2 linked regions of the Caenorhabditis elegans genome follow. The protein of the gene in region 2 purifies or fractionates together with the protein of the main gene of each other region. This does not show direct contact. Each region holds a gene or a part of one and is shown on either strand. Other genes may lie near its edges.

Region 1 (5,713 bases), 1.7 Mb from region 2:
GTCCCTCCTGAACGGCAATATACTCCAGATTTTACGGTTAGTTTATAAAAACAGTAGCAGGGAATTTAACTCAGTTTTCGTCCTAACCTGTATTACTTTCCTAACCCGATCTAAAGCTTCAGCAGCCACCACCATCGGTATCGGAGAGCGGCGGAGTTTACAATGGACCGCCTGGGTTTCAACAGAAGCAACCAAATTTCCAGCCAACGTTACAACAACAATCGCTTCATCAACAACAGTATTTGGATAATCAGTATATGATGCAGATGAACGTACAAATTCCGATACAGTATCATAATCAGACCCAACATCAGTTTGTTCCGCATGAAGCCTCAGCTATTTCCACAACATCACAAAACAGCAACGGTGATGGTCAAAATGATCAAGCGATATATTATTATCAGGCGCCTACCCAACAGCCAATGGTTTGTTTTTTTGTTGTTGTGATTGTAACCACTCCTTTCTAATTGAATGATTTATTTGGTTAATACCATAAAAATATGACAAAATAATGGACGATTCAAATAACCTATTAATAGTTTCAGAACTACATTCCGTACAATCTACCAAACATGGCCTACCCACCTCCAAACTTCCAACCCCAAGGACAACTGCACCATCAAATGAATGCAGGACAACTACACCAAATTCAACAACAACAGCAACAATGCCAACAGATTCAACATCAACCGCCTCAGCAACACCAACAGGTTATAAATGGCCAAGTGATGAATCAACAGAACCAAAGAAATCAGGTGAATAGTTATCCACAGCAGAATGGTGCTGGTCGTGGACAGAATCGACAGCCGATGATGTATCAGATGCCATGCAACAGTGGGCCGACAGCAAAGCCCCCGCCGTTGATGAATCAAATGCAGAATAGATGTATGACCAACAATGGTCAAAACTATCAGAATAGGAATATGCAGCAGCAAGGTCAGCAGCGATCATATTCGTCACAGCCTCAGAATGGTCAGTTCTACCAAAACGGAAATTCCAACCAGAACAATCCGAATAATGGTAGAAAACAGCAGCATCAGCCACAGCAGCAGCAGAACAAATCAGGAAAATTCGGACAGAATAGAAATGATATGCAAAAGAACAATTATCAACCAAATCTACAGCAACCTCCGATGAGTCAAAATCCAATTCCATTTGGGTGAGTTTCAATTACTTGGCTCATTTTAAAATATTGTTAACATTCTTTTTGCAGATGCCCACCACGTAATGTGAATGCGATTCGAGAACAACACGCAAACAATGGATCCCCAAACACTGGCGCTGGAATTCTTGGACCACATCCAATGATGTCTGCATCCCAATGGCCAGCGTTGCAGCAGAATCGGCCTCAATAGTTTGTTATTCCATTCTACGAACACTCTATAGACAATTCATGCTTTAACCACGTCTTTTTGATGTGCTGTGATGGTCATCTTTTCACATTTATCTCCCTTTTCTTGTTCCATCAGTCCGATTCGGAATTGTGTTAATCAACACGGGTCGTACTTCCTCTTTCTCCCCCCATCTCCACATATTTATATCATTATTTTCTACATTCATTTTGGCATGTTTCAAGTTATTCAATTTTCTATTGTTATATGAGCCAAGTTTGATGAAGAAATTATCTTGTTTGACTTTTGTATAGACCAATTTATTATATGTCCAATAGTGGACCGAAACGGAAACATTCAGATTTTAGTTATGCAAGAACAATGAAGAGTGACTGAGAAAGAAGAAACTAGCCAAGAGGGTAATCACAGTATGGAAGAATGGGACGAAAAATAGTATTTAAAATGTGACGAAACCGACAGGATGAGGGTAATGCAATAGATTTTCAGGACAAGTTTTCATAAATGCAGAAATGTGGAATGGAAAAATTTCAGGATAAACTAAATTTCTAGACTTTAGCTGGACGACGTTTTCGAGGAGCATCGTCACTTGGTGATGGTGGAGCAGAGATTTCCTAAATTTCAAAATTATAATTATTTAAATTGAAACACTTATCAGATTACCTCGTCTTCAATTTTTTCATAATTATCATCAGTTGATGCCTGACTATTTTTTTCAGCATCATCGTCTTCTTCCTCTTTTTGCTCCTGTTCAGCAGCAATGTGGTCTTGCTCCTCCTCTTCTGCATCAGAATCCTTTTCTTTTTTCGACTTTTTATCTTTCTTATCTTTCTTAGCTTCTTTCTTCTCATCACCAACATACTCATAAGTATACCATGGTTGGAATGATTCAAGAACTCCACAGTCTTCAGTCAAGTTCGGCAGAACCCAGAGTTTGTGTTTTCCGAAAGTAACAGCGTAGATAATTCCGAAAAGAATAGTACGGACTGAAAATAATCGAAAAATGAATATTATTGTTGAAACAACTCACGTATAGCAGTGACAATGATAGCTGCAAAACATCCAATTCCAGTAATTGATACGTAATAAACTCCTTGGCGAAGCCATACAGGCCATAGAGGGAACAAGCATCCGACAATTGTACCGACGACTGAAATATATTAATTGGATTTTAATTTTACACATTGAATCATTTCTAAAGCAGGAAATAACAAATCAAAAAGGGAAAACTTACGCATAAGTACTCCAATAATCTTTTTCATGAGAGGAGTTGGATCGAATACCCAAACGTAGACATCTTTGTCATCGACGAATGCTTGAACTTCATGTACAAGAAGCTTCACCTTCTTTTTCTTTTTTTCTTCGTCTTTCTTTTCGTCTTTTTTCACTTCTTTCTCATCACCTTCAGCTTCGGTTGCTGTTTCTTCTTCTTTGGCTTTTTTATTTCTCTTTTCAACTACACCTTTTGGAGATTTGGTAACTTCAGCTGAAAAAAACGTGTTTTAAGATATTTTTTAAGTTTTATGATTACCAGAAGAATCGTTTCCTTTATCTTTATTCTCTTTTTTCTTTGCTACTAATTTTTTTGCACGGAAGAATAATTGTTTCGAGTTGAGTTCGCAAATATAATGGAAGCAATCATCTCTGAAAATTTAGAATCTATTTAAATTTACGTAATTTCTACAGAATGCCCACCTTGTTTTAAACATTGCATCTTTCTTTGCTTTATTTCCGTACTTGGATTCCCAAAGAGTATCGACAGCTTTATTTCCTGAAAATATATGCGATATTAATATAAACAATTGAAATTTGTACATACCACTGAAATAATGAACTTCGTTTCCTTCAAACATGGTCGTGGCTGTCGGACAATTGAATCTGATGTATTTGGCAATGTCTTCTTGCTCCTTCGTCATTTTTACGGCATCTTCCGTAGATACGCCCTGAAATTTGAATTAAAACATCGTTCTTTTCTAGTTAATATTGATTTTTCCGAATAAAAACTCACTTTTTGATTACGTTTCGACATGGTTAAAGTTTTCCTTTATTAAAAAAGCAGAAAAAATGTTGAGAATCTGAAAATACAGCCAAAACAAAAGTGGTGCGTTGGAACAAGCCAAAATCTCCTGACAATTGATTGAGAAAAGTGTGCCGCAGTTGCGCTCTGACGGAAAACGCAACTGCCGCACGCTTACACACCGCGTAAATCTACACAAACTCGGCTGGCATTTCTTTCTGATTTTATCGTTCTCTTCATTTATTTTCATAATACAGGTTTCTAAAACATTTTTTTTCAATTATTTTAATTCCAGAATGGGTGGAGGACATCACGAGCCGTTTAAGATCCCAAACTACTCAATCTACAGCAATTTTCGCGATTTTCCACAGTTGGCGCAGCATGAAAAACGACTCGCTCAAATCGGATTGAAGGATCCATGGATCAGGTCGGTTTTTTATCGATAATATTAATAAATATATTATTGATTTTTCTTTCAGAAACTACGTCTACTTGTACGATCGAAAGTATCCACACGTTGTTGGACAATGGGCTCATTTCAAGAAGGTTCGTGTTTTCTTCGAGATGAATTAAATATTATTAATATAATACCAACATAATATTAAAAAATTTTTATGGATTGTATCCTATAAATGTGCTCTTGTTTGGAAAATTTCCGAGCAAGCCGATTTTCCAAAAATTATATTAATGTATTTAGGGAATTTTTTAAAATTATTTAATAAATTTCAGTTGATTCTTCCTGGATGGAAAGCTGGAGTTGCATTCACAGCTGCCTTGATTTTCGTTGAAGAAGCTTACCAATACAAGACTCACGGAACCACCTCATGGGATGGTCATCATTAGAATTATCTGTTTCAAATCTCGAGCCGATTTCTTTTTTTTTAGTTTAAAAGTTTTCTTTTTGTGTATGTAGTTTCTTAAACTCCAATAAATCATTCATTTTTAAAATCGCAATTCACCCTCGTTGAAAATTGGTATTCTGCCAGAAAGGTTTCTATGATAACGATGTCAATAAATGTTTTACAACAACAATTTAAAGGGCATGTCTGCTCTAGAGCAGTTCATAAATGATCAGAAGAAGAAAGGAAGTGGTATCAGCAGTTCAGCTTCATTTTCTTCATTTGATTCACTTCGCAACAAGCTTCCAACGTCTATTGGGTAACAAATTTCACTTAGAAGAAATGTATAAAGTTTGAAGTTTCAGAGGATTTTCCCTACTTTCCCGAAGCGAAACAACCGATAGTCAGCAGTTATTAGTTGGAGATGATTCTGGAGATGGACAATTGCCAGCTTCCAGAAATCGGTATGTTTTGTTCAGAAAAACAAAAAAAAATAAACTGAAAATCTTGATTTCTTTGAATTAAATACTCCTAAGTAGGCAAATATCAATTAAATATTATATATTTCAATTTTTAACTGATGAGAAACGGATAAAATTGTTTTCGTTTTAATAGACTCAAAATGGTTTTGAATTACTTAAATTTCATAATAAGATTACTCAAAAACTTTCAACGCTTTTTTGGCAGTTCGAAAAAAGTTTTAAAAATATTTCCAAAAGCTATGTTCACTTATCAGCGAAATTTTACGATTTTCGCGACAAAAATACGGTAGCCGGTATCGACACGCCGTTTTTTTGGAAAACAAAAATAGATGTGAGCCTTTAAAAAGTACTGTAGTTTAAAAATTTCGTTGCCGCTGAATTTTCATCGACTTTACATAGTTTTTCGGTAAAAATATACTTATTTAAAAAATTAAAATATGAATAAGCTATAAAAAATCGACGAAAATTTCACATTAACGAAAGTTTGAAATTACAGTACTCTTTAAAGGCGCGCACCTATTTGAATTTAATTAAATTAGTTGTGTCGAGACCGGACACCGTATTCTTTGCGCAAAATTGCAAGCCCGGGAAATATTATCACTCTTTTTGTGTTAAAACGACAAAATATCATTGCATTTCAAAAAAGGATATCTTTAAAATTTACAGTCAAAAATTGGATATTACTCAGCTTTAGAAACTTATAATTATCGAAGTCAACCAAAAAAAGGATTTTTTACGAATCTTACTTCTTATTTAATGTTCTGAATATTTTTTTAGAACATTTAAAATTTCCAAACATGCGAAATGCTTCTTACTTCTAAAAAAAACCAAATTAAATTGGTATTGAGCCAAAACTATGACTAAATTGTTTTCGAAAAATCGTAATTTTTTAAAGTAAACAAAAAAAAATCTGAAAATATATTTTGTTAAATTTTCCATGTATTAATTTTTAAAGTATTCATTCATAAAAAAATGCCAAAGATATCCGTTGCAAAATTCAACTCAATTAGATTGAAATTTATATTT
Region 2 (8,044 bases):
TACGGTATCAGATTTTCATAATCATATTCGAATTCAAATTCAAATTCCAGTAGATAAAAGATCCCGAATTGATTTAATTTTATTATACTTAATTAGAAATTTATGTAAATTTTATGCAGTTATTGATATACATGTTGTTTTTTTTGCTGTATATTTCTATTCACAAAAGCTTCTTCCGTCTAAATGTTGGACTTTTTGAAACTTTCTGATCACTGCCAAGGTTTTTTTCCTTGATTACTGTAGGGATTAGTTTTACTTAAAGTTTCACGTATTTAATATAAAACGTTTGTGTCAATACGCAATTACAACGTGGTTTTATTTATTTTGATTTCTTTATGTTACAAGTTTTTAGTTAAAAATATATCTATGTTCAAAATGTATTCTCCGTGCGTTGTCTCAATCGAAGAGGAAGTTCCCAAGGTACAGTAGAGCTGCCAACAAACATTTTTATCGTACACCACCAAACACACCACCAGACTATTTAGTCTTCTTTCTTTTCCTTTCAAAAAGTACACCAGCAAAACTGTTTGCCGCCGGTACTTCCTCAAATCGTTGTCTCTTTTTCTTATATCATAACACACAGTTTTGCCCAAAGAACTGACAAAGTGTACTTGTCGGCTTTGGTTACCTTACGGGATTAACATTTGAAAGAAGATTGGACGGTGCCATCTTCATTTCAACCTCCCGCCTTCTTATCAATTTCATTGTGTGCGTGACACCAACTTTTTTTAATAGCAGAAAAATGTTTCAGTACACTTTTCATTTTGATAATCAGCAGAAACCCTTCTGTTACGAGCAGTCTGCACCCTATCAATCTAACAACATTTCAGAAAATCATGACGGCCGAGGAAGATACTTTGCCTGAAAGGCTGAGGTTTCACGGAGTTCACACAAATATTTTGGCAAGGAACCTCATCGCCGAGTTTTTTGGAACATTCCTTCTTTGTGTTAGTTTTAAGTTTCTTGAATAGTAATTTGAAAATTTGATTTTTTTTTAGTTTATCGGTCTTTCAATTGTTTTCCAATTCCATGCTGGCGGTGGAAAGACAACTGAATGGATTGGAGTTAACATAGGATGGGGATTTGCAATTATGTTTGCAGTTATGGCAACAGCTAGGATGTCAGGTAATATTTCTGTGAATCAAATCTTCTGCTCAATTTTCTTTTTATTTTAAGAACTTTTATCAACATCTTTCAGGTGGTCATCTCAATCCAGCTGTTTCCCTTCTACTTTGGTCTCTTGGTCATCTCAAACTTGCTTGGGTGCCACTGTACGCAATTGCTCAAACCGCTGGAGCTTTCGTGGCTTCTCTTGGAATGTACTCTTATTACTATGGTATCCTACTTATTCTCCCTGTTGAAATTATTTTGAAATTTTCAGAACAATTCAATGCATTTGATGGAGGTAATCGCACAATCCTCGGAGCTACTGGAACAGCTGGTTGCTTTGCCAGTTATCCATCTCCAAATCTTGGAGTATGGGGTCCATACATTGATCAGTGCGTCGGTACCGGAGTTCTCGCATACTTCCTCTGCGTTGTTATTGATGAGAGAAATCAAATTCCAAAAATTTGGCATCCAATGTTCTTCGGATTCTTGGTAATGATGATCGGAACTGGATTTGGAATGAACATTGGATATCCAATTAATCCAGCAAGAGATCTCGGACCACGACTCTTCAGTTATTTTATCTATGGTCCAGGTGTTTTCCAGTTAGTTCACAGTGTCAATTCACAAATATCTCATATAATGATTTCAGCTCTCCATACCCTAACTATTGGCTAGCTCCAGCCATTGCTCCATTTGTTGGTGCTCTTGTCGGTGGATGGTTCTATCATTTCTCCCTTGGAATGCACAATCCTGACATCGAAGAAGCCGACGATATTTTTGTTCAACAACCACCAAAATCTGTAGAGCAACAAAAATTGCTTCAAGCTTAAATCTAATAATTATGTACATTTTTATTGAATTTTCAAATGTTTAAAAAACATTACTACATATATAGTCTTGAATCAATAAATTAGAAAAAAACTTAGAAAACGATGTTGAGCAATACAGCGAACATAGAAATGAAGAAAGCAACAGTTGATGAGGATCCACTGTCAACCAAATCAGAAAGTTGAATGTTTGGATTGAAATTATCTTGACTGGTATAGTTGATAACAACATTCTTTGGAGCCCAAACGAAGTTGGAGATCATTTGAACTGATGGTCCTGCACGATCATATGGAACCATGTGTCCCGCTCCCTTTACAGTCAGAAGATCAATTGTGATCATAGCATTGTTCTTATTTTTGCCAGAGTAAGTTTGAACATATCCAGCAAGTTGTTGGTTGTTACTGTAATACCATGGGGTACGTGGCCCACTCTTAAAATATAATTGGAATATTATTTAACGGTAGAAGTGACTTACGGTAAGTCCATTATCTTTAGCAACTTGAAGAATGTGCTTGGCATCTCCCAAATAGTTACAAACAGTATCGACATCTCCATTGTAGATTAAGAAACGGAAGTCGGTTGTGAGATTTGTGATGATATTGTTGAAGAATCGATTGGTAGTGTTGTATTTCAGAGTATAATTATTATAGATAGACATTCTACAATCTTCCCATGTGTTTTTCTGATCCTTCCATGCTTGTGGAATGTTGAGAGCATTCTGCACATTGTCACTGTTCAAATACTTTGACACAGCATCTTCATTCCAGCAAAAATATCCAAATTGATTGTCATTTGAGAAACGGTTGACAAGAGTCTGAACAATGAAGCAAGCGTTTCAATTAACAAACTAAGATAAACTAACAGCAGTGTTCTTTGCCAAATTGGAAGTTCCTTGGAAGTTTCCGAGTTGTTGATATTGCAAGTTCTTCTGGACCGAAGATACTCCTTGCATAGCACTTCTCTTGTGTCTCTTTCCTCCAGCTGGTGGTGGGGCTTGAAAGACAGATTTGTCATAGCATTCTTGGTAGAAGTTGTACTGGTCAAATCTGAAAATTACGTTAAATATATAAAATACAAAATCTCATACCCTTCATTTCCTAAAGCGTTTTGCGAAATGAGTGGTTGAATGAGGTTTCCGCAGTATGAGCCATCTCCTACGTAGTCAATTTTATTTTGAGAAGTTGTGAATTGAGAGAAATCAAAACTGTCAACGTCGGCTCCCTTTGAACAGTTTGCTTTGATGTCGGCCCAATTCCTGAAAAAATAAGTTCAGTTTAAAACGAACAAAACAGTTTTAAAATGTTCTTACTGCTCAGAGACACGTCCATGGTAGGCACTCCAAAGGGTAAGGGCATTGAGAAGTCCAGCTACATTCATGAATCCGTTTCCAATTGCAGAACCCTAAATTAGACATGTTTTGAAGTAATTGTGTAATTATTTTACCTGGAAGTTTTTGTTTGGAAAGGGTTGATTGGGATTGTTGATTCCTTGTACAATCAAATCGGTCAACATTGGAATATAAATTCCTGCATACGATTCTCCAGAAAGATAGAATGTTCTGTTCGTATATTTAGGTTGAGCACTGAAATTTAACATTTTTCTGTTACGTATCTAGACTTAAAATTCAATTACACATTGAAGAAGTTTGTGAGAGCCTGATAATTCTGTGCAGCTGATTGATCATCATTAGCTTGGAAGTATCCTGGAGTAGTAGTGTCATATGAATAACCAACTCCAATTGGGGATTCTAAGTAGAGAACGTTGGCTTTCTGAAATTTTAAATATTAAATTTATAGTTTTTATTATCCTAATACATGTCCCTGTCCCTTTTTATGTTTCAATTTGGTTTCATTTTTAAACTACACAAAGTTGTGTTTTATGTGCCTAAATTTGTTATCTATACAATAAATGAGGTTTCAACGATAAATTGCAAAAAGCAATAAAACTTGAAATTTGCGTAAGCAAGACTATTTTCTATTCAAACTTTCTTTTCTCTATCAATTCAACGAGAACTAAATATCATAACGTGGTCTTCGAATGGTAATTAGCAAACCGCCTTTGATCGAAAAGAGTTGTAGTCTAAACTGAAAGTTATGATTATCATTTCGGTTTTCATAGGCAACCGAGTGTTACAGGAATCTGATTTGAAATTCTTTTAACTACATAATAAAACTCTGGTCTTTGGAATTGCAAACAGCTTATCCTTTTCCCCAAAAATAATAATTACCGCATTCCATGCATATGGGTTCTCATAAAGAGTTTGTCCATCAAAGTTAACATAAAATGGACCAAGTTCTTCGAAAAGTCCTCCAAGAGATGAGCATCCTGGCCCTCCATTGAACCATACCAATAATGGATCAGTATCTGGATTTGATCGAGATTCTGTCAACCTGGAAGCACAATTTCTTTTTAATTTGTATTTCCAATAATTTTATCAGTTTTCGCATGGACAGCGAAAAACGTTATCAGTAAATTTTTAATTGTATTTGCAGAGAATTACACAAGAATTATGACTGAATTAGATGACTACTTGATGCTTCGTGAGGTGGAAATTTTAAATTAAACAGAAGAAATAGTGACAACAAAATGAATTGATGATTATTCAATTGAGAAATGACATTTCAAGGGAACTTTTGAAATTTTGATGAGAAATACGTTTTGAAGTTCAATGAGTTCCGAAAATAGAATGATCTTCAATCATTGTGTAAACTGCGAAATTTCACAAAAAAAACGTGCATTCGAGTAAGGAGTATACTTTTCAAAGAAGATCTAAGAAACTATATGAAAGCAAAAAGCTGGAATTTTGAGAAATTTTGAGAACTAATGAATTCGAAAAAAATACATTCACTAATGGTTCACTTGAAAATAAGACTTCAGATTTCCAGATTTGCCGAGAATATAAAACTCACATATAATGCATTTTCCATGTTCCATTTGCATTTGCATCGACATATCCAGAATATGACTTGAAATTGGCTTTGAACAAAAGACCGGGCAGATTCTGGATCAAATCCTTTTCTCCTTGAGATAGGACCGTCACAACTAGAAAAGCTACACCAAGTAGAGTTCGACACATTCTGAATAAAATGGACTCTCAATGATCAGAATTAATGAAAATCGTAATAAAAAATCTATAAAAATGCGGTAGACTCTAAAGAAATGAAGGTTGCATAGAGTTGCTAATTGATAAGAAGAAATATGCTTATCACTATAATAATTCGCTTTTTGAAGCCATCCTTTTTATGGTGTCGTATTGAAAAAAATGTGTTGCGAGTGCCAGTATGGAAACAAAGTTCGAGTCGTAAAAAATACTACAATTCTGGCTGAATAGATGTGGGTTGGGTTTACCTGTCAAGAGCAAATAATGACAAGAAATAGAGAAAACTTTTTGGTTCTGATCATTCTCCACGAAAAAGCTTTCAAACTTAGAAACTTAGAATATGGAAGTACGCTTTTGAAGTGACAAATTTTTTCATCACGCTTCATTGTAGCTGTTTCAGTTTAGCCCTTTAAAACCTGTAAATCATGAAAGTCTCTGACAAATAAAATGACCGTATTTCCCCTATTAGACCCCTTTGCTCTTGTTTGACAGTCTCAGTCTCAGTATCTCAGTTGTCTTTAGTCATATTAAAGAAGTGTCAACGGACAAAACACGTACAAAATTTTTCTCTATATTTTGATTGTTGAAAATTTTTTGATAAACGTTAAGGCAACCGAGATATAAGCCGTCAAACCACAGGTGCAAGTAAAATTGAGAAAATATGCTATTTTAAAACAATAAAGCAGCCGATGACAATCAGGGTTCCGCCATTCACGGGGAAAAACGTGCGTTAGACCACGCCTTCTTTTCAAATGTAGATTTTTTGAAAGGCAAAAGTCCGATTTAGTTTTTCAGAGCGGAGGACGATTTTGGAGATGTGCAGATTTTTCAAAATTTTTTTAAAGGAACTTGATAGAGCACCAAAAATTACGATGTTTCATCCAAATCTCAAGTTTCTACGTTGGATATGAGGGATTTTATCGATGAAAATGGATTTTTTTTGGAAAATGGCCTGTAACCTATATTGAAGTTGAAGTTATTTGAAAAAAGTTTACAGATTATTTTTGAAAATATCTATAAAATGTTAAATCAATAAAAATATCTCACAAAAATCTTTCTTGTGGTAGATACACCGTTGTAACGGAAGAGGAACCAAAGTTTTTGGACGTTTTTTGGTAAAATAACTTTGAAGTCATGTATCTCTGAAACTAGGATACTTATCAATAAGCAGGTTTTTGTGACAGACAGATAAGATATTTTCCATTAATTTCTCAGTCAAACATTTTGTGCAAAAATTTCTGCTTTTCAAGATATACTTGTCACAAAATTGGTATTTATATAGCAATTGGAAACATTAATTGAGAGTTAGGTACTTTTCTCGCTTTAAGCTGAATTTCTCAAACAAAACAAAAAATATTAATATGAACTGAAGCTCTGTAAACTTTTCATACAATTTTGAAGCGTTTTTTCCGACTGGCAACTCTTGGAATATACTTTTCACCTGAAAAACTGTTGCCACTCTTAGATTCTAGAAATTTCAAACAGGAGTATTTTGACAACTAAGCATATTCAAAAGAAACTGCCTGCTGTGAAATTGATTGAAATTTCAATTCCTACAGTTTGCATCTAGTTTTGCACCAGTAAGGTTGGTATTTCCTAGAGATAGTAATCCATGAACAAAATTGCACAAATAATCTGAAACTAATTTTGATGAAACGGATGTATCTCATGAAATAAGCAAGTTATGAATGTCATATAAGTTAAAATAGGGTTTATAGATATTTTTTCACATTTCTCCACAAAATCTTTCCAAGAATTCAAACTTCAGTCGAGTTACAGACCATTTTCCAGAAAAATCCATTTTCATCGATAAAACCCTTCATATCCAACGCAGAAACTTGAAATGTGGACGAAACATCGCATTTTTTGGTGCTCTATCAAGTCCCATCAAAAAAATTTTGAAATTTCTACACATCTCCAAAATCGTCCTCCGCTCCAAAAAACGAAATCGGACTTTTGCCTTTCGGAAAATGGCAAAAAATCAAATTGGGATATTTGGGTCGAAAAATATGTTTTTAGAATGCTGAGAACACGTTATTTACGAATATCATGTTCATTTTTGATGATTTCTGTTTTGAAAAGATCTGAAATTAAAACGTGGACCTAATTTTCATTCTCGCGTGACACTTTTTATTTCCTTAAAATCACTTGAAAAACCGATCGAATTCTCAGTTATTAAAAAATTCACGTAAGAATCAATTTGCCTTCGATTTATTTTACTACGATTTATTTGTTTATTGATAATCAATAACGTTATTTATCTGTACAAGGTTCTTTGGGAAAATGTGGACCGTAGCTGTTATATGCACATATTTGATTGCTTATTAATTGATGATTTTCAACTGTAAAATGGGGGTCGCGAAGATGTAAAGCAAAATTAGAAAATGGCAGTACAGAACTGTGGAACTGTTGGTTTTGGTGGAAGAGTAGTGGAACTGGTAGAAGCTGGAGTAGTGGAAGATGGTTGTTGTCTTTGTTGTTGTTGATTGAACCTATCTCCTCCGAACAAAGCTGAAAGGAAGTCAGATCCACCGAAGAGGCCTTGAACTTGCTGAAATTAATGAATCTTGAATTAATAGCTTTTAAACTTTCAAACTCACGCTTTGCATCTGTGATTGAACGGCATTTTGGTAAGCGGTTTGTTGAGTATCGAATGTTTGCAATTCAGAAATCTCATCAGAAGAGAGGTCACGAGCGTATTGTCCACCAACATAGACTTTGTTGCCCTGAAGAGAAGATTATAGAATTGTGGTTTGACAAATAAGAAGGCCAACTGTACAGTAATACTGTTCATAATTCTTTAATTCTATTTATAAGATAAATCTTACTTGAACCATGCATCCATCGAAATAGTATTGAGTAGTATCTTCAGCAGTACAGAATGATGGTTTTTCTGGAGCCTTTGGAATTGATCCATCGTCATTTCCTCCCTGGCTGCTGACATCATTGCTTTGTTGTTGTTGATTTCTTCCTTGAGACATCAAACGGTTACGGAGGTTTTCACGA

The links. Proteins that work in one complex are often made in the same cells at the same time.
Region 1: the proteins of ctsa-3.1 (region 2) and ndub-3 fractionate together in Caenorhabditis elegans (co-fractionation; one large-scale study listed by BioGRID). This does not show direct contact.

The regions. Positions count from the first base shown.
Region 1 is NC_003280.10:8,962,839-8,968,551, reverse strand, and holds ndub-3 (NADH dehydrogenase [ubiquinone] 1 beta subcomplex subunit 3), read left to right. Parts: upstream 1-3,661; 5' UTR 3,662-3,662; coding exon 3,663-3,793; intron 3,794-3,845; coding exon 3,846-3,912; intron 3,913-4,095; coding exon 4,096-4,209; 3' UTR 4,210-4,310; downstream 4,311-5,713. Other genes in the region: szy-20 (SUZ domain-containing protein), read left to right, coding at 1-36, 117-425, 546-1,159, 1,214-1,355; sec-62 (Translocation protein SEC62), read right to left, coding at 1,898-1,963, 2,013-2,335, 2,380-2,499, 2,584-2,835, 2,881-2,993, 3,045-3,120, 3,169-3,292, 3,358-3,378; sftd-3 (Vesicle transport protein), read left to right, coding at 4,409-4,524, 4,571-4,669.
Region 2 is NC_003280.10:7,229,824-7,237,867, reverse strand, and holds ctsa-3.1 (Serine carboxypeptidase ctsa-3.1), read right to left. Parts: upstream 5,016-8,044; 5' UTR 5,015-5,015; coding exon 4,848-5,014; intron 4,329-4,847; coding exon 4,166-4,328; intron 3,708-4,165; coding exon 3,571-3,707; intron 3,521-3,570; coding exon 3,382-3,520; intron 3,340-3,381; coding exon 3,248-3,339; intron 3,194-3,247; coding exon 3,026-3,193; intron 2,985-3,025; coding exon 2,801-2,984; intron 2,753-2,800; coding exon 2,414-2,752; intron 2,369-2,413; coding exon 2,033-2,368; 3' UTR 1,948-2,032; downstream 1-1,947. Other genes in the region: aqp-1 (Aquaporin), read left to right, coding at 831-947, 999-1,125, 1,199-1,336, 1,382-1,712, 1,760-1,940; F32A5.4 (uncharacterized protein), read right to left, coding at 7,416-7,589, 7,639-7,764, 7,867-8,044.